Linked DNA regions of Macaca mulatta. The protein of the gene in region 3 binds, or shares a complex with, the protein of the main gene of each other region. Links are inferred from orthologs where the notes say so. Each region holds a gene or a part of one and is shown on either strand. Other genes may lie near its edges.

Region 1 (10,723 bases), on a different chromosome or scaffold from region 3:
CTGCAGTGCAGTGGCGCAGTCTCAGCTCACTGCAACCCCTGCCCCTCGGGCTCAAGTGATCCTCTCACCTCAGCCCCCCCAGTAGCTCGGACTACAGGCATGTACCCTACACCCAGCTAATTTTTCACATTTTTAGTAGAAATGGGGTTTCACCATGTTGCCCAAGCTGGTCTCGAACTTCTGGTTTCAAGCAATCTGTCCGCCTTGGCCGCCCAAAGAGTTGGGATTACAGATGTGAGCCACTGTGCCTGGCCTTTTATTGCTTTTGTTGTTGACTTTGGTTTTTTGGGGGCAGCTCTCAGGTACTACCCTACTGGTGCATGACGGAAGCCGTAACACATTTCCTGCTGTCTGGTGGAGATCTGTGATTTCAGCTTAGGGATAAAGGGTTAGAATAATGCATTTGCTCTGTGTGCCCTCTGCTGGTACTGCGTGAGCAGACCACACATTGAATGCCTGCATGGGTGAGAATCTGTGGTCTCACCTCCCAGGACAAGCCCCTTGCAGACTTAACAGAGTGGTGATACTTCAAGGGCAGCGATGGTCAATCACGTTAGAATCACCCAGGGAACCGTGAAAATAAAAATGCCTGGTCATGGGCTTTGACAATGGGGTTTTAAAAACACTCTCCAGGAGATTCTACACATAAAGCCAGTGTTAAGAACCTATTCTTTGGGCAGAAAATTGGCCCAGGAACACAAAGTCCACAGAACCATGTGTCACTCTGGTGTCTTCTGTTCTAGTAGTCTATTTCAGAAATTCCCAGCCTGCCTGAAGCTCAGAATTGGCTTCAAGCCGGTCAAAAAGACAGATCCTGGGGACCCACCCCAGACATAATCAGAATATCCCGGGGTGAAGTTCACTCAGGTCATTACTTACAACCCAACAAAGAGAGAATTTTTGGTTTTAATGAGGTTAAGGTCAAATCATTATGACTTCTTAAGACATTTTTTAGCCACAGGCTTTATGTCTTCATGGGGAAGGGAGTCACAATCACTGAAGAACTGATAGGCAGGTGAAGGCAAGGTACAGAAGGAATGAATAGCCACGTGTAACTGCTATGCACATTTCTCTTCTATATAATTGAATATTCACTACACTTCTTGAGCATAAATAGTGAAACTCCGTTATACAGAGAGGACACTGAAGGGGAGGCGGTTAGTTCTCTTTGCAGGTATCTAGGGAGAAAGCCTTCCAGGCAGAGGAAACTGTCAATGCAAAGGCCTTAAGGCTGGAATATTCTTGATGACTGGAGAAGAGCAAGGCCATCGTGACCTGGGGGAATGATCTCCACAGAGTTGCGGATGAGGGAGGAAAGGGGAGGGTGGATTAGGCCATCAGCCTTCACAGCAGAGTGATGTGATTCTGTTTTTAAGCATCACTTTGACAGCTGCGAAAATGGACTCCAGTAAAGCAAGGATGGAAGCACAGGATAGAAGCATCGAAGTGAAGGGCCGGGCACGGTGGCTCATACCTGTAATCCCAGCACTTTAGGAGGCCGAGGTAGGTGGATCCCTTGAGTTCAGGAGTTCGGGACCAGACTGGCCAACATGGCAAAACCAAGTCTCTACTAAAAAGAGAAAAATTAGCTGGGTGTGGTGGTGGGTGTCTGTAATCCCAGCTACTCGGGAGGCTGACGCAGGAGAATCGCTTGAACCTGAGAGGCGGAGTCTGCAGTAAGCCAAGATCGCACCACTGCAACCCAGCCTAGGTGACAGAGCGAGACTCCATCTCAAATTAAAAAAAAAAAAGGAAAAATAACCACTGTTGACAAGAATGTTGAGAAACAGGAACCCTTGTCCATTGCTGGTGAGCGTATAAAATGGTACAGCCGCTGTGGAAAAGTGGCAGGTCCTCAAAAATAAACAGAATTACCACAGGATCCAGTAAATCCACTTCTCAGTACGTACCCAAAACAACTGAAAGCAGGGACTCGAACAGATACTTGTATACCAGTGTTCATAGCAATAGCCAAATGTTCATTCATTAACAGTCAAAAGGTGACGACAACTCAAACGTCCAACAGATGAATGGACAAACAAAATGTGGTATATACAGACAATATACACTGCACCCATAAATGTATTTAACCATAAAAAAGAAATAGCACTGACACGTGCTACAACATGGATGCACCTTGAAAACACTACACCAAGTCAAAGAAGCCAGATACAGGCCAGCTGTGCTGGCTCACGCCTATAATCCCAGCACTGTGGGAGGCCGAGGTGGGTGGGATCACTTGAGGTCAGGAATTTGAGACCAGCCTGGCCAACATGGTGAAACCCCCATCTCTACTAAAAATACAAAAATTAGCCAGGCGTGGTGTCAGGCACTTATAATCCCAGCTACTTGGGAGGCTGAGGCAGGAGAATCATTTGAACCGGGGAGGCGGAGGTTGCAGTGAGCAGAGATTGCGCCACCGCTCTCGAGTCTGGGAAACATAGGGAGATTCCATCTCCAAAAAAAGGCCAGATACAAAAGGTCACATATTATATGATTCCATTTATATGAAATATCCAGAATAGGCGGATCCAGAGGGACAGAAAGCAGATTAGTGGTGGCCAAGGGCTGGAAAAAGAAGGAAATTATTGTTCAATAGGTATCTTAGTTCTATTTGGGTTAATGACAACATTCTGGAAATGGATGGTGGTGACGGTTGTACAACATGTTCTGTTCTGTTTGTTTTTGAGATAGTCTTGCTCTGTCGCCCAGGCTGGAATGCAGTGGCGTGATCTCAGCTCACTGCAACCTCTGCCTCCCGGGTTCAAGCTTCTCTAGTCGCTGGGAATACAAGTGCCCACCACCATGCCCAGGTAATTTTTGTACTTTTAGTAGAGACAGGGTTTCGCCATGTTGGCCAGACTGGTCTTGAACTCTTGACTTCAAGTGATCCACACGCCTCAGCCTCCCAAAGTGCTGGCATTACAGGCGTGAGGCACTGCGCCCAGCCTGTACGACACTGTTAATATACTTAATGTCCCTGAATTACACTCTTAAATATGAGTAAAAGGATAAATTTTAGGTGTATCTTGGTACGGTTAAGAAAAATGGAAGGCGTGGCTCCAAGAAAAAGAGGAAATTCTCCAAAGAGGAGCCAGTCAGCAGTGGGCCTGAAGAGGCAGCTGGCAAGAGCAGCTCCAAGAAGAAGAAAAAGTTCCATAAAGCATCCCAGGAAGATTAGAATGCAAATGGACATTCTCTGGGAGGTGGGACACACCATAGCCCAAGGTGACATCTTCCACCCTGTGCCCTGTTCCCCAATAAAAACAAATTCACAAAAAAAAAAAAAGAAAGAAAAATGGAAGGCTACACAATAAAACATTATTATTTTTTGTTTTGTTTTGTTTTGAGAGGGAGTCTCGCTCTGTCGCCCAGGATGGAGTGCAGTGGCGCGATCTCGGCTCATTGCAAGCTCCGCCTCCCAGGTTCATGCCATTCTCCGGCCTCAGCCTCCCGAGTAGCTGGGACTACAGGTGCCTGCCACTACACTCGGCTAATTTTTTTTTGTATTTTTTAGTGGAGACGGGGTTTCACCATTAGCCAGGATGGTCTCGATCTCCTGACCTCGTGATCCACCCGCCTCAGCCTCCCAAAGTGCTGGGATTACAGGTGTGAGCCACCGCGCCCGGCAATAAAACATTCTTATTGACTTTCGAGTGGCAAAATAATAAAGATCATGCCTTCCTTCCTCTTTACTGTGTTACAAATTGCATAATGAACATGTATTATTAATTATGCAGGGCAATGCATATAACTGGCTTTAGTTTATAAAAGAACGTACCAGCATACGGTCCATTAGGCTTTATTACACTGCAGGGCCATCCAAAGCAAGAGCCTCTAGATCTCAGCGTGGTGAACAAATCTCAAATGGGGTTTCGTGCTCACTTGGACGACATCGCTGCTCATCGATGTGTAGTTAACATCCTGGCAGACCTTTCTGCTGCTGGATGTGTGAGGGGCACAGCACAGGGCTCTGGAAGTCCCTGCTGACTGCTCGAAGCCTTTCTCCATGCCAAAACCTCTGACCAAATGCTTAATGCTATCTGCTCTAGGCTGCTGAGTCTGCCACACGTTTGACATTTATTCCCACATCCATCCCACGAAACAAGCAGGGCTTTCCATTTTACAGATGTGAAAACCAAGGTTCAAAGAGACTCAATAACCCACCCCAGGACAAGTGACAGAACTGAGACTTCTGACTCCAAATCCTATGCTCCCCCACCACACCTCTTTGCCTTTCAATTTCACACCAATGGACTGTCTGGGTGACCCTGGCATAGGTTCTTCTAAGAACTGGCTCTTAACAAAAACTTCTGGCCGTTATCTGACTGAATGTCACACACGAGTGCTGTAAGAACTTGCTTAGAGCCTTTTTCCTAAACCTGGACACCAGCTCTTGCCTTGTGAATTTCTTCATCACAAAACACATGTTCCCAGGGGCCCAGGCAAAGTCTCCAAGTACCCAATCCCCTTTCTTCAGCTGTGCCCACACCCTCAGCCTTCCTGTCAATCCAGGTGACCCAGGGTTACCCAGAGGTCCAGGCCCCAGTTGTTTACTTGAACATCTGATGTCTCCCAAACACCTGCGTGAAACGCTCTCTGTCCAGGATGTGTCCATAGCGCAGGGTGACGTAGAAGGTCTGTTTCCCGCTGTACCGCTGGATACGCATGAACATCTCCTGAGGCTGGTCCTTGGTTTCTGTCAGGGGAATCACATCTGCCAGGGGACAGTATGTGTCCTGCCGCCAGCCCCAGAAGCTCAGATGGGCCACCCGCAGCATGGTGCCAGACTCATTCAGATACAGGATACCAACCAGTCTCCGAAAGAAATAGCTCATCCAGCACAGCATGGTCAGGGCAAAGCCCGATATCCCACTCATCAGGCACACGGTGTTGAGAGTCAGGAGGCCCTGGGAATACCAGTAACAGGCTGGTGGCAAAACTACCACTGTCAGGGCAGTCTGTGCCAACTTCAGTCGAGACAGGAACCCAAAGATTCTGATGGCATCAAAACGGTAAAACATCCAGAATTTCTCAGTCTCTTGGTTTGGTGGTTTCTCCTTCGAGGTGGGTGACCTGCTCCCCACCCACCTCTTAGGATCCTCCTGCCCACTGCAGCACCACAACCCATGGAGAGGCCTTTCCCACGCAGCTTTTCCCCGAAATCTAGGCACAACTCGGAGAAGGGCAGCCTGAAAGGGAGACAGTAGACGATTTCTCTCATGGAATTCAACCACATTAATCACACGGTGAACATCTGCAAAGCACCATACTCCAAGGCTTCTGCCAATCCTGCAAGGTCACCATTATTGCCAGAGGAGGGAAGGGTAAAGCCAGATGTTATCTCATGTGGGCATCACAACAGCTATCTAAGATAGTTATCACTATTTCCACTTTACCACTAGGGAAACTAAGCCCAGAGAGGGTAAGATATTTACCAAAGAACACACAGTCAGTGAGTGCAGCAGAGTCCTCCTTCCATCAGGCAATTCCAAAGAAATACAAGAAAGGAGGTGCGGCCATCAATAATTCAAAACATATCTAGGGAGTCCCAACTCTGGGCTGGACAATGGATCCACAAGGGGGTGTGAACATTTCCCCAAGCAGGAAACTGAATAATCAATGTCTTAGTGGGGAACTCAAGCAACAAATCTGTGAGATAGTTATCCCAACAAACTTTCTAATTCTGTTTACGTTATCTTGGGTGCTGGAGGGAACTGCTGCTTTCCCTTAACCTAGTCAGGGGAAGGGGAAACAACGAGGAGGAGGAGGAGCGAGGCAGGGAGGCCCCTACACGTAGCACAAACATATTATTAGGTGGGTAGTGAAGCAGTAAAAGCTCTGGTTCCAATTCTGGCTCCATCAGTCACTACCTGTGGATTCTTGAGCAAATCACTCCACACCCCTGAGCTTCGGTTTCTTCGGCTTTCAAAATGGGGACTCAGAACACAGTGAACGAGAAGATGGTTTCAAAGCCCTCAACTTAGTACCTGATGCGCTGTGAGAGCTCGGCGAGTTTTAGCTATTACTACTGTGAGCACGTGACGCAAGGAGGGCAGAGAAAGCCCGGGAATGGCGAATGGTAACCCACGCCAGAGCTTCCTCCCACGGATTCTTCAGGTCCGAAACTCAGGCGTCGTGCCTGCCTGCCCCAGCTCTGACCCCGACCGACCCCCAAAGAGCATCACCCCCTCAAGGATCGCCACCAGCCTCCTTACCATGGCTCCACAGCCTGCTGCCGGAAGTAAGTCCCACCGGCCCCCGGAACCTCTAAGAGCGCATGCTCGAATGTACAAGGCGGGCGTGATCCGCGTTGCACCCTGGGATTTGCGGTCCAGGAATCGTGGCTGGCGCTAGTCCCAGGCGTTGTGGGAACGGAGTCTCCTCCTCTTCCCGACGTGCCCTGCGGCTCGGGGGCCGAACTCGGAAGTTCCGGGCCGAGTTCCTGATGCCAATGAGTCTTGCGAGGTGCGGTTAGACGCTGGGGACATGGCAGCTCCTGGCCCAGCGCTCTGCCTCTTCGACGTGGATGGGACCCTCACCGCCCCGCGGCAGGTAAGTGGCGCCCGGCGGGCTGGTGGCAGCCGACTCAGAGTCCGTGCTGTTCCCAGTTGGAGCTATCGACTACCCAGGGTCGGCGCCAAGGGCTGGCTAAGGACCGCCTGCGTCCTCACGGGGGCTGGACCCTATTCTAGGTGCCCTGGAGGGATGAGAGGGAGGCCCTAACCAGCTCTTCAAGAGCTCTGATGCTTGGAAAGATGAGACGGGGCTGAAGAACTCTTAAGAGAAGGAAACTTATGCTTGGTTGGAAAATGCAATCTGGACTCACCGCTAGTCCTCGGGACCGATGGACCAGGATTTGAACCCGACATCAGCTGTGTGCCCCTTATCAGCTGTTTGCCGGCCTCAATCCTGTAACCAATGGGCTGTGCCGTGAGTCATTATATTAAAAACAGGTTTCCAGGTGAAATCGACCTAGTGGAGTCTCATCTTCACCTCTTCACAGCTGTGTGACCTTGAGCAAGTCATTAACCTTTCTGAGCCTCAGCATCTACAGCTTTAAATGGGGATATTACGTGTTCCATATGGTGACTGTGAGGATCAAATGAGATTGTGTAAGTTCTTGAAAGTATGTTGCACACAGCACACTAGGCCTCAGTAAATAGTAACCACCTCCACCACACCCATCTCCAGCCCCTGCAGTGGACTAGGAAGATGGAGGAGCCCTAGGTTATTACAGGCTGCCCGCTGAGAGCCTCTTTGGGCCTTTCGAAACTTGCTTTCCACTTCCAGATTTTGCTGCTACAGGCACAGATAAGTTTCAGTCACTATCAGCCTTGAGATGAGGCTTTCCTGTCCCCTTTTCAGAAATTGGCCACTGACAACCGGCCATTTCAACTTGAGAGTGGACCCCAATGGTCTCACTATCCTCAACTAATATCCTCACCCCTCGTAGTCTTCGCTTGGTGGTAACAATGGTGTGCTCCAGAAAGCCACGTGAAATGCGTGTGACCTTAGACGTATCATTTTGCCCTTGTCAGCCACAGGTTTGATCTACCTAGTGATGACACTCAACTCCCAAGTTCTTCAAAGGCTTTTTCTGATTCTGAAATTCAGCTATCACACACTTGGGGTTGTTAAAAGCCCATAGTGGTCTAATACTCCGGTCCCCAATTCATTTTTTGTAAAGGGCCATATAGCATATACTTTTGTCTTTGCAGACCATATGGTCTATAGTAGCCACTGAACTTTAGTACAAAACCAGCCATAAACCCTATGTAAACACAGAGTGGCTGTGTACCGGTAAAACTGTATTTATTTGTTACAGAAACAAACAGCTGCCCAGTGTGGTCTGTGGGCCATAGCGGTCTAGGGTTTACATTGCCAACCCTTTTTCATGATTTCGCTGGACCCTCTCAACCTTCCTTCATCTTTCTTTCCAGGTAGGATAGTTGTTATTACCTTTTTAAACATAAGGAAACACACTCAGTGAAGAACTAACCTCCTCAGTTTCACACAGCCGACCTGGTACAAGCCCCTGAGCCTCAGGACATTGGTTCCTGTCAAGTTTGCCATTTCCTATCTGTGCTAAGGTGGAAGCTGTCCTAGTTACTAGGTATGCCATTCAGGAAAGTGCTTCTGATCTGATTTTCACAGTTCTGACTCTTCTTTTTTTTTTTTTTTTTTTTGAGACAGAGTCTCACTCTGTCGCCAGGCTAGAGTGTAGTGGTGCAATCTCAGTTCACTGCAACCTCCGCCTCCCAGGTTCAAGCGATTCTCCTGCCTCAGGCACCTGAGTAGCTGGGACTTAAGGCGCCCGCCACCACGCCTGGCTAATTTTTGTATTTTCAGTAGAGACAGGGTTTCACCATGTTGGCCAGGATGGTCTCCATCTCCGGACTTTGTGATCCACCTGCCTCAGCCTCCCAAAGTTCCGGGATTACAGGCATGAGCCACTGCGTTCTGACTCTTAAGGGCCACTCCTGCAGTTCTAGATTTTGTCTAATAGGTTCAAATTCCACTGTGAGAGTAGAAAAGATTGCACTCTATTACAAGCCCTTCTATGCAGTTTTATTTTAATCAGATTCATGTGTTACTCTAAAAAAATTTTTTAAAGAAAAATCATTGAACTCCAAGTGTTTATATACTGACGGTGAATTAAATGGTTTTTTGTATTTTCTAAATTTCTAGTAACTTTTTAAAAAAGATATTCAGGGCCAGGCGCGGTGGCTCACGCCTGTAATCCCAGCACTTTGGAAGGCCGCGGGCGGATCACGAGGTCAGGAGATCGAGACCATCCTGGCTCATGCTGTGAAACCCCGTCTCTACTAAAAATACAAAAAATTAGCCTGTAGTCCCAGCTACACGGGATGCTGAGGCAGGAGAATGACGTGAAACCGGGGGGCGGAGCTTGCAGTGAGTGGAGATGGCGACACTGCACTCCAGCCTGGGAGACACAGCGAGACTCTGTCTCAAAAAAAAGACATTCAGCCGGGCGCGGTAGCTAACGCCTATAATCCCAGCACTTTGGGAGGCTGAGGCGGGCGGATCACTTGAGGTCAGGAGTTCGAGACCAGCCTGGCCAACATGGTGAAACCCTGTCTCTAATAAAAATACAAAAAATTAGCTGAGCGTGATGGCGGGCGCCTGTAGTCCTGGTTACCTGGGAGACTGAGACAGGAGAATCGCTTGAACCCAGGAAATGGAGGTTGCAGTGAGCCAAGACCACACCACTGCACTCCAGCCTGGGCGACAGAGCGCAACTTCGTGTCACAAAAAAAAAATAGACATTCAGTGTAAATGTTCAACTAAGATTGCTCAAAGTACTGAGTTATAAGACTTGTAAAAATACATTGTGATGTGTCTTGATGTAGGGCTGTTTTTCATCTTAGTTTATAACTTTTTAAAAATTATCACACAGTTTGGAATTTACCATAAAGTCATACCACTAAGACCACTCTTTCTAGATAGGAGCTTTGCTTTTAGAAGAGACTAAAAAATCTAGTCATCTTACTCTTTTCCAATTTTTTTTGTTTTGAGTAATTGCAATAAATCAGTTCTAAGCTTCTCCTATTTATTTATTTATTTATTTATTTATTTATCAAGACGAAGTCTCGCTCTATCACCCAGGCTGGAGTGCAGGGGCACGATCTCGGCTCACTGCAGCCTGCGCCTGCCAGGTTCAAGTGATTCTCCTGCATCAACCTCCCGAGTACCTGGGACTACAGGCGCGTGCCACCACACCCGGCTAATTTTTGTATTTTTAGTAGAGATGGGGTTTCGCCATGTGGGCCAGGCTGGTCTCGAACTCTGACCTCAGGTGATCCACCGGCCTCGGTCTCCCAAAGTGCTGGGATTACAGGCGTGAGCCGCCATGCCTGGCCCTGAGCTTCCTCTTTAATTTCATTATGTTATTTTGTTTTAAAATCAACAACTTAAATCCATAGATGGAGTATAGTGTAGCATTTAAAAGGAATACATCATGCTGAAAAAGCGAAGTTGCTGAGAAAGCGAAGTTGCTGCAAAGGACATAGAATGATTCCATTTATGTTTCAAAAATAAGACCTATTTGTATATGTGCCCATAGATGGGTATATAAATGCGTAAAAAATTAGCTAGCACAGTGCACAACAGCTACTAACATATTACCTGTGTTTAAAATGTGGTAAAAATAACACTTAAGTTTATTCTGGTAAAGATGCCTCCCTCCCAATTACAACTAAAATATTTGAACTGTGTAGAGAGCTGGTAACTTAATTGGCATGTATGAAAATAAGGCTTATAGGCCTGGCTTATGCCTGTAATGTCAGCACTTTAGGAGACCAAGGCTGGTGGATCTCCTGAACCCAGGAGTTCCAGACTGGCCTCAAAACTTCGTCTCTACAGAATATAAAAAAATTAGCCAGGTGTGCTGGCGCATAACTGTGGTTCCATCTACTCAGGAGGCTGAGGTAGGAGGATAACCAGAGCCCTGGTCGAGGTCGAGGCTGCGGTGAGCTATGACCATGCCACTGCACTCCAGCTTGGGTGACAAGTGAGACCCTATGTCAAAAACAATTTTTTTCTTTAATTTTTAAACAAGAAAATAAGATTTGTGTACTTGTGTTACCCTTAGAGTTTTAGTCTCCTGATTATTTTTTGGCTTATGAGTGTTGTATTTTCCTTCTTGAAATTTAGAAAATTACCAAAGAAATGGATGACTTCCTGCAAAAATTGAGGCAGA
Region 2 (10,651 bases), on a different chromosome or scaffold from region 3:
GTTGACTTCTCCTAAACTGATAACTGCCTTTCTAGGTCTATAATGTAGAGAGCAAAAAATTAAAAGTTAGCTATCTGAAATACCAAATGACCACATTTTGATTCAAATATATCATAGACAGCTAAAGAAAAAAGAGAGTTTATTAACCTAAAAAAAAAAAAAAAGTAAAAAAGAAGGAAAAGGAACAACTTACTTAGTTGCCAGACGTCCATTTTTAGTAAAAGCCAAAGAACTGGGATAGAAAACACCACAAACTATGCCGATCAGTGAACTTCTGAAAACACAGTTTTCCTTGCTTATATTTTCTGGAAAACAAAAGTAAATTTGGTTTTCCTTTAAAACTCAAGAACTATTAAGACAGTGTTGTACCTCAGAGTAGTTATCTGCACTATCCTCAACCACAACTAAACCATAGAAAGAATATCAGAAATTCAAACTCTGTGGCATATAACAGGCTAAATGCAGCACATTTAAAAAAGTTTTTATTGTACTTTATCACATAGAGAATTACCTCTAACATATGTGGTTGTTGTAGAAGCTATTTTATTTTTTAGAGACAGAGTCTCACTGTGTTGCCCAGGCTAGAGTACACTGGCATGATCTCGGCTCACTGCAACCTCTGCCTCCAGGGTTCAAGCAATTCTCATGCCTCAGTCTCCCAAGTAGCTGGGATTATAGGCGTGCACCACCACACCCAACTGGTTTTCTATTTTTAGTAGAGACTGTGTTGGCCAAACTGGTCTCGAATTCCTGACCTCAAGTGATCTGCCCGCCTTGGCCTCCCAAAGTGTTGGGATTACAGGCATGAGCCACCATGCCCAGCCAGAAGCAATTTTATAATGACAGAATACTAAACTAGCAGACCAGACCTGGATTCTAGGTTAATACATTTTTATTATCTACTATGTATCAGGAATGTGCTAGGTGCTAGGAATACAGTGGTATATAAAAGACACCTGATCTCTGATGTTCTGGCCAGTTTACAGTAATGAAAGACATGAGATAAATATTTAAATAATTATAAGTGTACACAATACTTTGAAGATAAACTATATAGAGAATGTATCTAGACACCTAATGTACAATGAGGGAATCAGAGGTCTCCCTGGGGAAAAGATACTTAAGCAGGGACCTGAAGAATGAATGATGGATAGAGGCTCTATCAATTACTAGTTGTGAAACTCAAGGTAAGGTGAAGGGCAGGAAATAACATTAAAAGCCCATAATATGACAGATATTGTGGTAGTCATTTAACCTACAGTATCTTTTAATTCTCACAAAATCCTGTGAGGTGAGTACTATTAGTCCTAATTCATAGATAAGACAAGGGAGGCTCAGAGATGAAATTACTTGCTGAATGTCACAAAACTTAAGTGGCAGGAGGTAGGATACTGAAATGATGTTTGTTATATGCCACAGTCAATTCTTTTCCCAGTATGTTGTTTATTAGTGTACTTGAACATGCCTCAGTTTGGGTTGCTTGCTTATCTACAAAAAGAAAAAAATACGATTTACCTCATTAGGAGGACTGTTGCAGGGATTAAATACGACAAGGTATATGAAGGGACTTTGTAAACTGTATAGCACTATATAAATGTAAAGAATTATTATTAGCAGTAGCAACAGCATCTGTTAATCAGTAACTTTACTTAGACAAAACTACATTATACATTAGTGAATTTAAATTCACCTGAATACAAAGGATCAATTACAAGAAGCTTGTAAGTAACTACAGTAGACAAAAATGGAAGTGTAGCCAATGATGCATATGTTTTCAAAGCATCGTGTTTAACCTTGAAGCAGCGTCTGAACAGAAAGTTTGAGAATATTCCAGAGAAACCAGCTGTTGTTCCAAATGACGTCGTTTGATATATATTTGGTGTCCTAATAGAAAAAAAGAAAAATTCAGTTCACTGTAACATTGAACTTAATGGATACAGCCTTTCCTAAAAAGTTGTTATTGCATATTTACTCAATATGAAATACTTCTTGAGCACTTACTATGTGAAAAGTATTTTCTAAGTGCTTAAGATAGGGCAGTAAACAAGGCAAAAGAAAAAAAGAAAAGGAAAGAAATTTCCCACCCCTCATAGAACTTGTATTCCAATGAGAGGACATGATTCTCTTTCTGAGAATATTTACAGTAGTTCTAAAATAGAGCTCTTTTAAATAATTTTGGTCACAAATAAATATAAATATGCTCCAATGTAGCCAAATTTTATGAGTTACCCAAATCGAAGAATACCTTTCCTGCAACTAAAAGATTTACTTTGCTTAAGTTCATCTAAAAAAAAGCTATTTACATTTGGTTAGGCCTTCTATTTCTGCATTAGTCCCAGATACATTTAAAATAATTTGTCCAAGATTTAGAAAATTTCATCCAAAAAAATCTGATCTAGTTTTCTTATTCTTGAACTCCATTCATTTAAACGTCAAAATGGCCAGTCTGGCCAACATGGTGAAACCATCTCTACTAAAAATACAAAAATTAGCTGGGTGTGGTGGTACACGCCTGTAATCTCAGCTACTTGGGAGGCTGAGGCAGGAGAATCACTTGAATCTGGGAGATGGAGATTACAGTGAGCCGAGATTGTGCCACTGCACTCCAGCCTGGGTGACAGAGTGAGACTCTTATCTCAAAAAAAAAAAAGTCAATATGTTAATGTGAGACTGTATTTATACTATGAAATCTGTATTCCCTTTTGCTGTACTAAGTACTGTGGCTGAGATAATCAATCCTTAACTGATTATAATTACTCACCAATTAAATATAAGTACCCCCCCAATGATTTTCTCTTACTTTTAATTAAAATATATTTACTGCACAAATGTTTTAGCAATACTTTTGGATACTTTTTAAGAAACAAAAGAAATTATCCACAATCCCAAATATTCCAACAAACCACTATTTTCATCTGTTCTTGTTTCCCTCATTCTTTTTTTTAAGGATGTGTTCTTCATAACCAACTCAAAGAATAGGATAACAAAGAATAGGATCTCAGAAACAATGGCAATACAAAAGACTTGCAAATAAAATGATTTTCAGCCTGGGTATTTCTCTTACATTTCTTTTCTAAGATAGTCAAAATTTTTTTCTATGATTTCTATGATCATTGGTCTTCTGAGTTTTGCATCTTCTAGAGAAGGACTGGGTTGACCATGCATAGATGCTGTCATCTTGACATCCTGGAAAAAAAAATTCCAGAGCCATAATAGCTAATGATATTCATATTACATAAAACCTTACAGAATTCTACAGATTCAGATTTGAAAACATTTACAGTTTAGTAGTGTGCCAGGTACTGTGTTGTCTGCTTTCACATATTTTGTTAATAATTCAATCAACATTTACTGAGCTCTTATTATCTGTTAGACATTGGCTTTTTGTTATTATTTTTTATTTTCTTGCTAAACATCCTACAACACACAGACATTGGCTTTCTGATTCACACACTAACTTGAGAAATTGGTAGTATAATGATTATCTCTATACAGATGAGAAACTGAGGGTCTGAAAGGTTGGCTTGCTTAAGATTTAGTTTAGAGGGATAACATACTGATACTGTTTCTGTTTTCCTCTCTCCTCATTCTGAGAAGGCAGTCAGGCCCTTTGTAGTTGTCCTCCTAGCTCTTCAGGTGGGGAGGTGGAAACAATGGCTGCTTATTGACATCTCTATCCTCAGTTTCTCATGAAAGACTGAGTTCATTTTGGAAATCGTGTTTCATTTCCTAGAGAGGTAGGAGAGAGCAGGGATTGCCTTGGAGAACAGTGAGAGAGAAAAATCAGAAAGAGGGACACTGCTTCAGGAAGGGAACAGGCAGTAGATTGTGGCTACTACTTTGAAGTACATAAATTACATAACCAGTTCCCTATTACCACCTGTGGTGGAAGCAGAGCCTTTGCTAGAAATGATTATGTAGTATAGCAGAGACCCACACCTGCCACCACACCTGGCTAATTTTTGTATTTTTACTAGAGACGGGGTTTCACTATGTTAGCCAGGCTGGTCTCGAACTCCTGACTTCAAGTGATCTGCCTGCCTCGGCCTCCCAAAGTGCTGGGATTAAAGGCGTGAGCCACCGCGCCGGGCCCCAGAGACCCACAGCACTGGGCTCCTTGGTTGGAAGGTTCTTGTGTCCCAAGTGTGATGAACAGACAGCTGCCAATGTCAAGGGACCATGAAGACTTGGCCAGTAGCATCTTAACAGAAACTAGAGAGATTAAAAAACAAAACAAATCAACAACAACAAGAAAACAAACCCTGCACTCTCAGACAGGATCCTTTCTGAATGTTTTGCTCTGGGCAAGACTCTAGAGTTTCTGTGAAAAGTCTTAATAACATTTGTTAAATCCAAACATGTAGTTGCAAATGTTTACCTACTACAGCAGCCAAGTGGAAAGTCTATTGCCGCTAAATTCACTGCTTTTTACTTTTTTTCCTCCAGATTAGCCAAATAGCCTCTTTACAAATGTACACTAATCTCAATTTTAACGTTTATATTGAAGGCAAATACTAAATCTCAAGGTTAAGGAGTCCTAGACAAGAGGATTAGAGGGGATAAAGCATAATGAATACACAAAATACTTCATAAATCAGTGGTTCTCAACCTTCAGCATGCACAAGAATCACATGGGGTATTTATTTGAAATGCAGTCTCATGAACTCCCTCCTGAGATATCTGGATTCAGCAGGAGTAGGATGAGGCCTAGAATCTGCATTTTAATAGCACCGAGTGCTTTTGATGCTGTAGTCAATGGACACATATTGAATATTACCGTAATACTCATTTGCTGAATGAGCGGTATGTACCAATCCTAACTATAGAAGGGCCAGTTGATTATACACGGCTCCTGGCATCAACATACGTAAGTTATGAGCTTCTTTGAACCTTCTTATGGCATTACACAATGAGTAATAATGGACCAATTTCTTTCTCTGCATCATCGCAGAATTGTACTCAATCTTTTTCTGTAACATTTCTGGAGAGGGCAGGGGGAAAAAAAAGTAAAATATTTTACAAATTACAATTTTTCAGTGACTAGACTTACATCTTTTTCCTCTCCTGGACACCCAAATGGAAAGTATAAGGGATAGTAACATCTAAGGGAGATTCTATACCTAACCCATCTATTGTACTAAGATGGCAGATGTCAATAACATGAGTAACCATAAACCTTACATAAATTTTTGTTTTGCTCTCATCCAATTCACTGAAGTCCTCCACCTTCCACCAAAAACAAAAAACAAAATAAACTTCCAGGCAATATCTTCTACTAATCTCCTACCTAGTCTACACCCTAAACTCTCTATAGGGAAAGCAGACACCCAGGATTATGATTACAGGATAGCAAATACTGAAAAGAACACAGGAAATATTATTGAGTGCTTAAGCTTTGCAAGGCACTGTCAAAGAATCGACTGCTTTCATTACACCCCTCCCCTCTTAAGGCCACTCAACTAGTCACCACGCTTATACCAGTAAGAGTGGATTATAGTTTGCAAATCATTTAACGGTTTTGTAGTGCTTTCATGTGTATTATTTCACCTAATAATACATTTTTCACCTAATAATAAATTTCAACTTTAGAATTTTATTCAGTATTCTCTCATAATTTAGGGAGCACCTGGTATATGCCAGGCCTCCGAGTAATCAAGATACAGTCATCCCATCCTCAGGAATCCACAATGTAGTGGGAGTTCAGAACAAAAATGCTGGCAATTTAAACACAGAATGAGAGAGTGACATAAACGAAAAACCCAACAACCTAAGAAAAGGCAAACTTAATCTAGCCAGAGGAGGCGTGGGAAGGCTTCCCGGAGGAAGTGACATTTAAACCAATATCCTAAAGAGAACAATTTGGCAGGGGAGTTGGGACGGATAGAAGCAGGGAAATATTCCAAGTTGAAGAAAAAGCCTGTGCAAAGGCCTGGAGACAAGAGAAAACAAACCGCAGATAATGAGTACTAGAACTTAGGTAATCTACGTTCTCTCCGCCTCTTTCCACAACAGCTGGAGACTTAATCGACTGCTCCTTGCATGGACTTGGGGGCTGTTTTAACTTTTCAAATCTCCTTTAAGTGTATCATCTTGGAAGACTCTGCCAACACTCTGAAGCTGCAGAAATCACCCCCCATACCACTTCGGATTTCCGCCTACCTTGGGCGCTTCCTCAGTTACCACCGGCACCACACCTGAATCCCTCAGCTTGGCCCCAGCCTCATACCCGAACACCGCCATTTTGATGGCTCACGTGATTTGCTGGTGGGCGGGAAGTGGGGCGGGTTTACGGCTCATGCCTCTCGCTTGCAGCCCGGGCCCGCCCCCCTCAGTCAAAAGCCGCGCCCTCCATCCTGTCTGTGATTGGGCGCGGTGTCTAGAAATTAGGGCCACTTATTCGCTTAGAGGAGGTCCAGGTGCCTGTGGGTCCGCCCCCATCGCCAGCAGAGTATTTCCTTCCCTTGCTATTTGTCAGTTTAGCTCCCTGTTTTCCTCGCGTCTTGCGGAGAGGATGGGGCGGCCCAAATGCTGGAATGTTACTGCGCTCCTGCCTCTCCTCAGGGCACCTCTGGTAGCTGGGAACTAGCTGCCTGCCCCTTTCAGTCCTTGAGGGAACTCGCCCCTTTGCCCTGGCCCGTGTGGTGTTAAAGCTCTGTTTCTCGGGCACCTCCTCCTCCAAACCCCCAACCAGCCGCCCAGCGCCGTCAGAGCAGCCCCGACTAGCCTCCTCCCCTCTCAGCCGTCTGACTCCTCTCCCCAGTCTGTAGTCCCCTCAATTTCCATCCTTTAGCCCCGCTTGGAAGGAGACAGGAGAGAAATTTGCCCACTACCCCCCGAGAAGACCCACTTGTCAGTCGTGTCTCAGGGTGGGGGGCACTGCAAGGCCTGGCGCTGTTTTGTGCACGTTAAATGCCCAGCAGTATCTCCCAGACCGGCAACCCCCGACCCTCCAGTCTCCATGTCTTAGAGAAGCCAAATTCGAGAGTTATATAATTTCTAGTGCTGCTGTTGCTCCTGCCTGAAGAAACACTTCATCGCGTGGAGGGTGCAGGACATTTCAGTGCTCTTCCCTAAAAGAACGGGGCTTGGGCAGGGGTGGCCAGCGGTGGCAGAGAAATGTCTTGTCTTTTCTGCAAAAGGAAGGTGGGTAGTTTGAAGAGAGATTGAGAGAAAAGGATGTGGATGTGAAAGCCAAGCAGCTGCACTTTTTCATTTTGAGGAAATCGCGGACCGTTTGCATAGCTTATGCTTACATGTCTAATACTACTACGGCGTCTCTGAAAACACCTTTGGGGGAAGGTTTGGCTTCTCTCGAAGTCTCAGTGTTTTTCCTCGCCGGATAGGGAGCTGCTTGGATGCGAAGAGATGGCATGATGTGAATGACTCCAGTGTGAAGAAATCTGCTTCGCCAACTCATCCTGCATCAAGTGCCCATTGAGTAGCACTGTCACTTTAATGTCTCCATGCCAAGGGATTGCTTTCCTTTTTTTTCAATCCTCTCTGTTAATACATGGGAGGATCAGAATCAGAGGTGCATTAAGGATCAAGCCTGGGGGCTTGGAGAGCACAGAAGAAAAAAATGAAAGTGACAGCAAGCTGGATTCTGAGTTACTGAGGGGGTGAGATCCGGAACTTCTGATCAGTAAATAGAAGGGGGCCTTTCGGTGTGTGTTCTGCCACAGAAAACTGTTCAAACTCACCTATCTTTTTAGAGACTGGAGTCAAAGAGGTTTTTAAAAGTATTTTTTGGGAGGTGGGGTTAAATTTTTCTCTACATATTTGAGGATCTTTTTCATCATGTTTCAGTTTGACCATGTATAAAGTAATGAGACAGCTGTCTAAATTTGGTTTGTGCCTTAAATGAGTTAGTCATTGAACTTCCAAAAATGTTGCTGCCTGAAGAGGAATTTCAGTAACGTTCTTCATGTTTACAATAATTTTCCCAGTTTGTAAAAACAGTCTAAATATTTTCTGAACATTGAAAAACTTGAAAAACTAAAAAATTACGTTTCTGTAAACTCTGTGGGCGGTGTAAAAAGTTTAGTTGTGGAAAAAGTACATCATTACTTTCTTTATCTGACATAGAAGACTCAGCCTGGATTTCAAAACTGAGCAGTGAAGTGGTTTGCAACAGTTACCTGGCTCTTGGCCTCAAACCAGCTGGATCAAACTGAGACCTGAAAAGAGATCTTGAATTCTGTGGCAGTGGAAAGACCTAAGAATGCCAGTCAAGAAGAAAGGTGGGCTATGAGGTTGCTATATAATATTTCTGCCTTTTGTTGGTTCTGGTACTTGTAATTTAAACTATATTCCATTTGAGAGTAAAATTTTGCTTCAGTTTGGGGGAAATTTTTATTGTAATATAGTTTCAGTGGTACATAATTCAGTAATATCTTGCTAAAGTAAAAGGAAGTAAGACTATAGTATTTATTGATAGATATTTACGATTTCATACATCAGGTTGTTTATATCACCATTGGTAATAAGAATAGATTCAGTACCGCAGATTTGGAATCTTCTCTAGCTTGTTTTCTTAGCTTGTTAAAGGTTGCTTTTAAGCGGTCTTTAAAAAAACTTGTACAGTGGAGCTCTTCCTCATGGGTTTAATATTTATCAAGCTAATTACAGAGTTGTGAAAGGTAGCAAAGTAATTTCATTTGCACTGAACAAAATTATAGCTTTATAATTTATCTTTTGGTTAAAAATAATTTCTTATTTGGATTTATTCTAGTGTAAATCTTCACTTTTGTGATAAAGCACAACTTTCATGACTATTGTGCTTTTCCAGATATATGCATTATCCAATAACATGATTGTCAAGTTCCCCATATGGGGCAAACTCCTGTTTTTTTCTCCCTCCTCAACAACTTTTATTATTGGAATTGATCAAGATCTAGTGAATTACTGAAGCATAGTTGATTATAATCCGAACTTGGGGATTCAGTTTAGCTTAGATGCAGCCCAGGTTAACATTGTTCCAAAGGATCTTAGTTTGGGATTGTTTTTGTTTTGTTTTGTTTTGTTTTGACATGATATGGCAGGTGAGATCAGCTGTAAAGAGTTTCTCAAGAGTTTTGAATCAAAATTTATATGACATCCTTGAACTCTGCTATACTGGACTAAGGTAGATCCAAATGTTGTCCAGTTACGTGAGTTGCTACAGTCTGAAACTAAAGCTCTGGGTGAATTGCAGGTTAAAGTGGAACTTATCTCTGCATGGTGTTTAATTCTTCTACCTGTGGATTTGTTAGGGATGTTGAGGAAAATTATAATCACTGAGATGCCTCAGTGATTATAATTTTTATCCAAGCTGATATTTACCTAGAACTGTGATTTCTGCACACTGGGATTTAAGATTGAGATTGTTTCCTCCCCCTGCTGTTTCTAATAATTACCACTGACAGAAGTAAACTCTCTATGAGATTTTGGAGCCACACCTGTCCAGACCAGACACAATTGGTTTATCGAGAACAAGAATGGTTTTGGGAGTGTAGCCAATAAACGATATGGCTCTTTGACATATTTAAGTTGATGTGTGTTTTTATTCTTTCTACCATTTCTCTAGACAGTTTCTTTTGGATTACCTTATTTTGAACTAATAATGGAATTAAACACATATGTGTGTGTGTGTGTGTGTGAGAGAGAGAGGAAAAGAGTGAGAGGGAGACAGAATGGGAAGAGGGAGAGAGAGAGAAAGAGATAAACGGTATATAGGAAGGAGGAGGAGGAAGCTCAGTTGATATTCTAGATATAACTTAACTAAGCAGGTTTAGTTAGAAAGTTTAGGACTTAATGTTTCTAAACCCCATAAACTGAGTTTCTTAAAAGTTCTTCCTTTTAAAAAACTGTTACAGAAATTGCTGATACATTGCTGAAATTATAATACTTTAGAAGTATTCCTCTCCTCCTTTGCCTACTTCTTTCTCTCTTCCTTTGCCTCCCTTCCCTTTCTTCTTTCTATCTTCGATAAATTGACTGACAGATTGAATTTTTAAAGGAATCAACAAGTTCTAATTAGAAAAACAAATGTATATTTCTATGATACCAAAGTATATGTTATATAGTTTTCCTTATAAACTGATCTAGAGAAACAATGTATCTTGCTTTTAATCTCTTAAAACTGTTAGTATTATGATACATATTCTTGAATATTGTAGACAACTAGCCAAACAAGTTATAATGTGTGTGTTATATTTTTCATTGGCTATGCTTACTATCTCTACTGTTTACCTAATATAAGAACAGTATTTTTAAGTTTAACCTAGATTTATTCTGCAGGGATCACTGTCCTCTGTCACCTTGAGTCTTTTTCTCTCTTCATTGTTTCATGTGGTAGACATGATGAAAGAGCTAGACTTAATGTGATTCTAAATAATAACTATCCCCACTGAGCTAAGTGTTTATTCATTGTTGAACATATTCTCATTAAAGTGTGAAATTTTCATAAGATGGATTTTCATTTGGTATTTATTTAGTATATTGTTGTCAAAGAGAGAGGAGATTCTTTTATTGATACCATGCAACCATGGTGGGAATTGGGAATGGGTGTGACATCTCACTAAGCCCATTTCTAGGTGCCATTCTGGACTGCTCTTGGATAAACTGAAACTACTGTTCCTCAAACCCCATGTTAACTGCTCGTTTGCTTTAT
Region 3 (10,132 bases):
AGGACAGTATAGAAAGACAAAGTTCCTATCTTTGTGCAGCTCATACTTTGATTAGGGAGACAAAAGCTATAAACAAAACAATGTAACATTGTGATCAGTGCTATGGATGAAATAAATAGGGCATCACGATAAAGAGAAATGGAGGTTGGCAAGGGGGTGGATAATAATATTTTTATTAAGGGCTATGTCAGACTTTTCTAAGGTGACATTTAGCAGAAGTTTAAGAATGAAAACAGTCAGGGATATAAAGAGCCAGAACAAGCAAAGTGAGGAAGAGAACAGCATTTCCTAAAGCCTTAGGGTAGACTGGGACCACTGGTCTCAATTCTTAACTCTAACACAATCACACCCCTGCAATCTAACGGTAGCACTCTCCCACTGTAAGGAGGGATGGACCTCCCTCCCTTTCCCTGCCTGCTAGGGCCATGTGACTTCCTGTGGCCACTAGAATGAGGCCAACATGAACAGAGGACTTAAATGTGCTTTCAGGGTCGGGTATGGTGGCTCATGTCTATAATCCCAGCATTTTGGGAGGCAGAGGCAGGAAGATCATTTGAACCCAGGAGTTCGAGACCAGCCTGGACAACACAGCAAGACCTCATCTCTATTAAAAAAAAAAAAAAAAAAAAAAAGGGGCCAGGTACAGTAACTCACATCTGTAATCCTAGCACTTTAGGAGACTGAGGCAGGTAGATTGCCTGAGCTCAGGAGTTCAAGACAAGTCTGGGCAACATGGTGAAACCCCATCTCTACAAAAAATACAAAAATTAGCCGGGTGTGGTGGTGCACGCCTGTAGTCCCAATTACTTGGGAGGCTGAGGCAGGAGAATAACTCGAACCCAGGAGGCAGAGGTTGCAGTGAGCTGAGATGACAGCACTGCATTCCAGTCTGGGTGACAGAGAGAGACTATGTCTCCCACGACAAAAAAAGTGCTTATATGGCTTGGCTTGGCCCCTTAGGTGCTTATGATCTGCTCTAAGAACAAGCCCCCAGATGGACCTGAACCCAACCCACATCCTGAAGCAGGCTGCCAGGCACTGCAGACTGAGACAACTAAAGGCTGAGGACTGTAAGCTGAGCTCTAAGGTGGTAAGGTGGTCTGTCTGTTAGGGCAGCTACAGCAGGGGATGACCAGCAGGTCTTCAAGTGAGCAGCACTCAGCTGTGGGTACAAAGACAAAGCCCATGTGGCATTCTTAGTTTGATCTTTTTAAAATGCTTAACAAAAACTGAAAGTATTTAAATCTCATTTTATCTTGCTATTTGGACAGAGTCAAGGGCCAGTCTCCCCCTTACACACATACACACACACACGCGCACACACACACACACACACGCACACACGAGCTACTTACTGTTGGAGCCCCGAATGCCTAATTTATCTTCAGGTTTCCCATTAGTGACTCCACCAAAGTCTCTTTCTACTATGAATGCTGTGATTTTGTCTTTCACTGATCCATCAGAATCAACTACCTCAGTCTTTGCAAACACAGTAAAAATATTGGCCAGTCCTCCATTGGTAATCCAGACCTGAGGACAGAAAGAAGGACTTTGGAGAAAACCAAACCCCTATGTGACCCATCTCAGCTCTGTCTTTGTTGATCAGTCAGACCTCAGGCCAGACATGCAGGGTCCTTGGCTCTGCAGAAGCCAAACAAGCATGAGTGAACACAGGACAGGGCTCAGCCCAGTTTGCCCACACCAAGGATTTTCCCAAGGGACATGGATGGCCAGGGTGGAGGTGGAGGGGGGAAAGAACATCCAAAGTTGTCAAACAGCTCAGGTTCCACCGCCAGACAACTGCATTTCTTCAAGAAAGAAAGGGTTTAATCATTTCTTAAGGTATACATATATCAAAACATCATGTTGCACATCTAAATACACACAACATTTATTTGTTAATTCTAAAAAGAAATGAAAAAAGAGAAGGCAGGAGGGTGGTGAGGAGGAGGAAAGGAAACAAAGGGAGTTAGAGGCAGAAACAGACTCCTTAACAAACCGCAACAGATGGGACTCATGTGGATCTTAATTCAAGCACATAGTTAAACCAAAAAAAGGTATGAGGCAATCAGGGATATTTGAATGCTGATAGATGTAAGAAATTATCAGCTGGGCACAGTCGCTCATGCCTGTAATCCCAGCACTTTGGGAGGTCGAGGTGGGCAGATAGCTGGAGCCCCAGAGTTTGAGACCAACCTGGGCAACATGGTGAAAATCCATCTCTACCAAAAAAAATACAAAAAAAATTAGCTGCATGCCTGTACTCCCAGCTGCTTGGGAGGCTGAGGTAGGAGAATCACCTTAGCCCAGGAAGTTGAGGCTGCAGTAAGCCAAGATTGTGCCACTGCACTCCAGCCTGGGTGACAGAGCAGGACCCCATCTCAAAAGAAAAGAGAAATTATCAATTTTTAAAATGTGATAAGGATATTACAGCTTTGTTTTTATTTAAAAAAACAAACAAAACTCCTGTCTTTTAGAGAGGCATGCTGTGATTGTTACCATGCGATCTGGAGGTAGCAATGCTGCTGGAAGAGGCACAGTGGCCATGAGCAGGTGACTGCCGGAGTTGGGGCCAGCCAGGCACACAGAACATGTCTGAAATTTTGTGTAACAAAAAATTTAAAGATTTTTCGGGTTTACAGGCCGGGCACGGTGGCTCATGCCTGTAAACCCAGCACTTTGGGAGGCCGAGGTGGGCGGATCACTTGAAGTCAGGAGTTCAAGATCTGCCTGGACAACATGGTGAAACTCCATCTCTACTAAAAATACAAAAATTAGCCAAGAATGGGTAAGCCCAGCTACCAAGGAGGCTGAGGCAGGAGAATCACTTGAACCTGGGAGGCAGAGATTTCAGTGAGCTGAGATCACACCACTGCACTCCAGCCTAGGTGACAGAGACTCCGTCTCAAATTTAAAAAACTAAAAAAAATCAAAAACAAACACATAAAAGCAGCTCAAGAAGGCAGTCAGTGCTACAGCAGCAGGTACAATCCCTGGTGTGTGGAGAGTGCTCACTCAGTGGCAGTGAAGGTCGTGACTGAGATCCTGACGTGGCCATGGGGAAGGAGCCCTACCTTGGAGCCATTGAGGATGTAGTGCTTCTTGTCTTCACTTAGCGTGGCTCTGCTCTGGACTGAGGCTGCATCGCTCCCACTGCAGATGCAGAAAGATGTGGTCAAGGGAGAATACTGGGAATATGAATGCTTTTGAGAGCCTGAAAATGGAGGTTCTAGTACTTTTAAGAGGTCAGCGAACTTTTAAAATGAAGGGTCAGATAACATATTCAGCTTTACAAGCTACAGGATGTCTGTCTCACCTCCTCAACTCTGCTGCTATTAATAGAACATGAGGCCGGGCATGGTGGTTCACGCCTGTAATCCCAGCACTTTGGGAGGCTGAGGCAGGTGGTTCACGAAGTCAAGAGATTGAGACCATCCTGGCCAACATGGTAAAACCCCATCTCAACTAAAAATACGAAAATTAGCTGGGTGTGGTGGTGCATGCCTGTAGTCCCAGCTACTCAGGAGGCTGAGGCAGGAGAATCGCTTGAAGCCAGGAGGCGGAGGCTGCAGTGAGCCGAGATCATATCACTGCACTCCAGCCTGGCAACAGAGCGAGACTACATCTCAAAAAAAAAAAAAAAAAAAAAACATGAACACAGCTGAAGACAATTTATAAAACAATGGGCATGTTCCAATAAAACTGGGCTGGGCATGGCGGTTCATGCCTGTAATCCCAGCACTTTGGGAGGCTTAGGTGGGTAGATCACTTGAAGTCAGGAGTTCGAGGCCAACCTGGCCAACATGGTGAAACCTCATCTCTACTAAAAATACAAAAATTAGCTGGGCATGGTGGCACATGCCTGTAATCCCAGCTACTCGGGAGGCTGAGGGAAGAGAATCACTTGAAGGCGGAGGTTGCAGTGAGATGAGATCGTGCCACTGCACTCCAGCCTGGGTGACACAGCAAGACCCTGTCTCAAAAACAAACAAACAAACAAAACTTATTTATAAAAAACAGGCAGGAGGCTGGATTTAGCCGACCTTTGCTTCAATACATCACGTAAAAAAGCGGCAGTGAAAACAACTTGGGCTTAGGTTTAAACATGGAAATGGGTGCTTGCAATGGGCTCATCTGAGGTCCTGTGAGGATGAGTTGTGGGCACCCCAGGAAGGATGGTTGTTCCCAGGTTCCCACGCACAGTGAAGCAGGATGGAGGATGGTCCAGGTGATGGACTTATCATTGGAGTCCCGAGTCCTGCTGCAGCCCTGCTCCATCCAGCAGATCACACAGCCTCAATGAACCTCAGCTCCTAATGTGTAAGCAGGAACAGTACCACCCATGCTACATATTCTGAAAGGTGCTTTGAAGCCTGAACGTTATTACTGTATTGTACGTCAAGGTGTGTTATAAACCACAAAAATTTATTTAGTAAGTGCTGTCAAGCATGGTATCTCACTTGCAAGTCTCACTGGGACAGAGAAATAAGGTCAAGGTAAGAGGAATGGCAAGAACCGTTGCTGAGTTGATTCTCTGCAAGATTTTGGAAAGAAGGAAAAGTCAGCTACTCAACAAAACCAACACCCCCTTGCCCCAGTGAGTCTTGGGCAATGTCACAGCTGCTGAGGGATAACATTTTGTGCAGGGACAGACCTGGCTGGCTCCGTGAGGCAGAAGGCTGCAATGTGCTCCCCGGACGCCAGTTTAGGCAAGTATTTGGCCTTCTGCTCCTCAGTGCCGGCCAAGATGATCCCCTAAACAGAACAGACACAGACTAATGTCAGCTGTGGGGAGAAAGGAGAGCATGAGGTGTGTTTGTGAAACATTTCCTTTCTGAGGCAAATATTTACTTCAGGCAAGAGAAGACAGCAAAAACTCAGAGCAAGCGGCCACAGGCAGAGCCCAGGGAGCCAGGCTGCTGAGGAGACTGTCAGGGGCCCATGTGCCAGTGCCGTGAGCCTCGGAGACCCACAGTGCTTTGCAGTCTGTGTCCAAAACTTTCATATCAGTTCCTTCATTTCCCAGACTGGTGGTCTTGGGCAAAGGATATCCCTTTCCAAAGAAACCCTCCTCCATCTTATCATCCACAAACTGGGCCACTCCCACCCACTGGCAGGGTGGTCTGGATGATGAAATGTGAAGACACAGGAGCACTGGAACCAAGCCTATCTTAAAGAAGGTGCTCAATGTCAGGGCTGTCCCACCTGCTGCCCTCCCAGTGCCACATAGACAGGCCCCCTCTTCATCAAACATCTGCATGAATGCATGTGCTCTCTGGGGTGGGGGAGCCGAGCATGGTGTGCATTCAGCTCTCTTTGATGTCAACATTAAGCAGAAATAATCTGAGTAATGAGATTGCCAGTAAGGGCAGTTAGCCCTGGGCCTGCCCTAAGGTGCTCAAGACCAGTGGGGGGAAGGCGGCTTGCATAAAGAGTGGGGGCACGCTTAGGCTGAGGGACGAGGGCTCAGGAGGGGAGACCACTTCCAGCCCAAGGCGAAGACAGCAGCACCCCACCTGGGCCTTGAAGGGTGGATCAAAGGCAATGGGGACAGGAGGCAGATTCAAAAGGAAGGGACATGCAACCCAAGGGCCACTACGCATGTGGGCAGTGTGTGGGGACTGAGCACCACGAGGTGTGGCCAGAGTGAGGGAACTGAAGGGCAGGACTGCACGTCAGATATCAGGCCCGATTCAGAGGGAGCAAGCCTCTGGCCTCTATGCCACCATGTGACTCCAGAAGACCTACAGAGAGCACCACAGAATCCCTAAACACCTGACCTTGAGGCCGATAGCCTGGTGCGCTGCCAGGGTCACAGTAATAGACCCATCCATGCTGATGATCTCCCCTAGTCGTGAGTACATGGTGTTGGAGAGGCCCAGGCCACCTAGGAGACATGGACCAGCGTCAATCACAGCCCAGCCCCAGATTCCTCCCATTAAGCCTTCATTGTTTTTTTTTTTTTTCTTCTGATTATAAAGTAATGCCAGATCACCATTTTTTTTAAAAAAAATCACAATACAGGCCGGGCATGGTGGTTCACACCTGTAATCCCAGTACTTTGGGAGGCTGAGGTGGGCAGATCACCTGAGGTCAAGAGTTTGAGACCAGCCTGGCCAACATGGAGAAACCCCGTCTCTACTAAAAATATAAAAATTAGCTGAGTGTGGTGGCGCGTGCCTGTGGTCCCAGCTACTCGGGAGGCTGAGGCATGAGAATCACTTGAAGTTGGGAGGCAGAGGTTGCAGTGAGCCAAGATCACACCACTGCACTCTAGCCTGGGCAACAGAGACTCCGTCTCAAAAAAAAAAAAATCACAATACAGAAAGGTACAAAGTAAACAAAAATCGAGGGCTGGGCACACTGGCTCATGCCTATAATCCCAGCACTTTGGGAGGCTGAGGTGGGAGAATTGCTTGGCTCCAAGAATTCAAAACTAGCCTGGGCAATGTAGCAGGACCCCAACTCAACAAAATTAAAAAAAGTCCCAGCTACTTGGGAGGCTTAGGTGGGAGGACTGTTTGAGCCCGAGGAGTTCAAGGCTACAGTGAGCTATGATCGTGCCACTGCACTACAGCCTGGATGACACAGTGAGACCCTGTCTCAAAAGACAAAAAAGAAAAAAAATGCGGCCGGGCACAGTGGCTCAGCCTGTAATCCCAGCACTTTGGGAGGCCGAGAAGGGCGGATCACGAGGTCAGGAGATCGAGACCAGCCTGGCTAACACGGTGAAATACTAAAAATACAAAAAACTAGCCGGGCGAGGTGGCGGGCGCCTGTAGTCCCAGCTATTTGGGAGGCTGAGGCAGGAGAATGGCGTAAACCTGGGAGGCAGAGCTTGTAGTGAGCTGAGATCCGGCCACTGCACTCCAGCCTGGGTGACAGAGCGAGACTGTGTCTCAAAAAAAAAAAAAAGAAAAAAAATGCTCACAATCGTGTGCCTCAGAAAGTGCATTTCTGTGTATATCCTTCTATCCACACTTTTCCTAGGCATACAAGCATATATAGATACATACTTTAAATATGAAGATATCTACACACACATCAAATCAATTAACACATAGCGAGGATCTTCCATCACAGCTGTAGGTCTTTATAAATGCAACAACTATAGTGTGTCCCACTGCCCAGTATCCAGAGGACTCCAGGACAAGGCTTCTCCACTGTGGCACTGTAACATTTTGGAATGTATTGTTTTCTGTTGTGGGGGTCTGTCCTGCGGATTGTCAGATGCTTAGCAGCATCCTTGGCCTTTATAACTTTATATCCAAAAGGCCTGAGGGTAAACACAAATGGCACATGTGTGTGGTCTATCCCTTTGAACCATTTTCTACCTCGCCTTCCACACACTGCTTGCCTGTCCCTTTAACCTCTGCAGAATTCAGGTGACCAACTCGAGAAAAAGCATAAGGGAGGCAAGTTGTAGTGACTGGCTAACTCTAATAAGGTAGAACCGTCACTTGGGAGCTAAAAACATCACTAGGATGCTCAAAGAATTACAGGGACAGTCCATAGCACAAAGGACGCTGCTCAAAGGTTCCCACTGGTCCAATCTCCCACCTTGATGTGCTTTGCACTCTACAGCCAGCCAGACCACATGCCTCATTCCTCTGTGCTAGGATGAAAAGCACAGGACCCGAGAGCACTTCCTCCCTACAGGTCCTTCAGTCAGTCCACCCCTACTATGTAGCCCATGACAGAAGGTGTCATCTATTCCAGCAACTAGACCTTTTATGGACAAATTCAGAGTGCTTTCTTAAGAGCTAAACTGGTTGGGTGCTTGTTTGCTTGACTTACCATATTCTTCGGGGACTTGCAGCCCAAAAAGGCCCAGGCTCTTCAATTTCTCCAAAGTTTCATCTGGGATTTTCCCTTCCTGGTCAATTTTTCGGGAGTCCACTGCCAAGAGGAAAATCTTGATTAAACAAATATAAGCTATGTTTCTACAAATATAAGTAAACAGGACAGTGGTTTATATATTGATAATATATAATCCCAGAATAAAAATTTTTTCAAAACTAGAAATTCTGTAGTCATGGTCATTTGGCCTGTGTTCAATTTTATGTAATTAGCCCAGGAAAAATTTTATTTTTATATATTTATTTAGAAACAGGGTCTCACTCTGATACCCAGGCTGAAGTGCTGTGGCACAATCATAGCTTATATAACCTCAATCTCCCAGGCTCAAGTGAGCCTCCTGCCTCAGCCTCATAAGAAGCTGGGACTACAGGTACATACCACCACACCCAGCTAATTATTTTTTTTTTTTAGTAGAAACAAGGTCTTGCTATGTTACCCAGGCTCGTCTTGAACTCCTGAACTCAAGCAATCTTCCTACCACAGCTTCACAAAGTGCTGGGATCATAGGTGTGAGCCACCACGCCTGGCCAGAATTAAACTGTTAAAAGCTGTCAGAGCTAGGTGGTGTTCTATTTGTTGATCTGGGTGCTAGTCACAGGAGTGCTTTTGCTGTGTAAAACAGCAGCAAATTATACATTCATGGCATGTAAATTTTTCTATAGGCATGTTAAACTTCATTTTTTCCCTCCTCCTTCTAGACCTCATACTTTTTTTGGCTAGTATATTCTAGGAAATGAGAGAATAAATATGCAACTCTCAGAATTATACTAAAATGTTCAGCTAGATAGCCACCTCATGGCAGTATCTGGGCCAAGATTTACCTCACTGTCAGAGGCCATACTGCTTTCAGCACAATCCACCAGTTCTGAGACAGTTTAGCCTGTTTAACACCAATTCATTTATTCATTCAACATTCACATTCAGCCTGCACTCTCAGCTACTTGGGAGGCTCAGGTGGAAGGATCACTCGACCTGGGAGGTTGAGTAAGCTATGATGGCACCACTGCACTCCAGCCTGAGCGACAGAGTGAGATCTCGTCTCTAAAATAAAAATTCACATTCACTGCAGCAAAACTGAACAATCAATAGCATTAGGCCTATAATTGCACACTTTTGTATGCATCAAGCCAATTAAAGTGTACTTCTGAATTGCTAATTAAACTTCATCAGTATTGAAAACAGTATGGTGAAAAACACCATAACCTACACTTAAGAATTTTTGCATACATGGGTCACTAAGACAACTACAGATTCCCAAAAGTGCAGGCCAAACCCTTCATTTTTTTATCCTTTAACAACTTTATTGACATATATAATTGGCGAAGAATAACCTGCACATATTTACAATATATAATTTGTTGAGTTCTGGCATATTTGTCAGTGAAAACATCACAATTGAGAAGAAAACATTTCCTTTTCCACCAAAAGTCTCTATGCCCCTTTGAGAACGATCCATCTGTCCACCATCCCCAGGCAACCACAAATCTTTTGTCTATAGATCAGCTTGCATCTTCAAGTTTTATATAAATGAATCCATATGGTACCTATCTGTTTACCCCGGCTTCTTTAACTCAGGTCATGATTTAGAGATTCATCCATGTTTTTTCATGTATAAATACTTCATTACTTTTTGTTGCTCAGTATTCACTGTATGGGTGTACAACTGTTTATCTAAATTCAGTAAGCAGTATAAACACACAGAGCCAGAAGTTCAAAGAACTCCAAGCAAAATAAGTGTGCAAAAAACTACATAAATAAATGTGATAATCAATTTTCCTAAAACCACTGAAAAGCAGCCAGAGATGAAAGAAACACTATGTACAAAGGAACAAAGATAAGAATGGAAGCAGACATCTCTTCTGAAGCAATATGAAGTCAGGAAGAAAGCAGAGCAACACCATTAATTGCCTGAAAGGTAAATCCTGTCAACACAGAAACCTGTTCTGATGAAACAGACTTTTATTTTACTTTTTCTTTCCTTTTTTTTTTTTTGAGATGGAGTCTCGCTCTGTCACTCAGGCTGGAGTACAGTGGTGCGATCTCAGCTCACTGCAACCTCTGCCCGCCAGGTTCAAGTGATTCTCCTGCCTCAGCCTCCAGAGTAGCTGGGATTACAGGTGCATGCCACCACATCTGGCTAATTTTTGTATTTTTGGTAGAGACGGGATTTTCCCTGTTGGCCAGACTGGTCTCAAACTCCTGACCTCAGGCGATCCGCCCACCTCGGCTTCCCTAAGTGCTGGCATTACGGGCATGAGCCACTATGCCCAGC

Evidence for each region. Proteins that work in one complex are often made in the same cells at the same time.
Region 1: ACAD9 (region 3) and TMEM186 share a complex: the UniProt entries of both Homo sapiens proteins name them as parts of the mitochondrial complex. The link is inferred for Macaca mulatta from reciprocal best matches to the Homo sapiens genes ACAD9 and TMEM186.
Region 2: ACAD9 (region 3) and TMEM126B share a complex: the UniProt entries of both Homo sapiens proteins name them as parts of the mitochondrial complex. The link is inferred for Macaca mulatta from reciprocal best matches to the Homo sapiens genes ACAD9 and TMEM126B.

Annotation. Positions count from the first base shown.
Region 1 is NC_133425.1:10,018,015-10,028,737, forward strand, and holds TMEM186 (transmembrane protein 186), read right to left. Parts: upstream 6,247-10,723; 5' UTR 6,222-6,246; coding exon 6,219-6,221; intron 5,193-6,218; coding exon 4,554-5,192; 3' UTR 3,787-4,553; downstream 1-3,786. Other genes in the region: PMM2 (phosphomannomutase 2), read left to right, coding at 6,490-6,555, 10,678-10,723. UniProt on the Homo sapiens protein: As part of the MCIA complex, required for efficient assembly of the mitochondrial complex I.
Region 2 is NC_133419.1:86,217,481-86,228,131, reverse strand, and holds the start of TMEM126B (complex I assembly factor TMEM126B, mitochondrial), read right to left. Parts: upstream 6,247-10,651; 5' UTR 6,241-6,246; coding exon 6,160-6,240; intron 3,187-6,159; coding exon 3,065-3,186; intron 1,885-3,064; coding exon 1,691-1,884; intron 306-1,690; coding exon 194-305; intron 1-193. Other genes in the region: DLG2 (disks large homolog 2), read left to right, coding at 8,222-8,240. UniProt on the Homo sapiens protein: As part of the MCIA complex, involved in the assembly of the mitochondrial complex I. Participates in constructing the membrane arm of complex I.
Region 3 is NC_133407.1:155,070,184-155,080,315, forward strand, and holds part of ACAD9 (complex I assembly factor ACAD9, mitochondrial), read right to left. Parts: intron 7,936-10,132; coding exon 7,798-7,935; intron 5,888-7,797; coding exon 5,781-5,887; intron 4,756-5,780; coding exon 4,655-4,755; intron 3,154-4,654; coding exon 3,075-3,153; intron 1,531-3,074; coding exon 1,356-1,530; intron 1-1,355. UniProt on the Homo sapiens protein: As part of the MCIA complex, primarily participates in the assembly of the mitochondrial complex I and therefore plays a role in oxidative phosphorylation.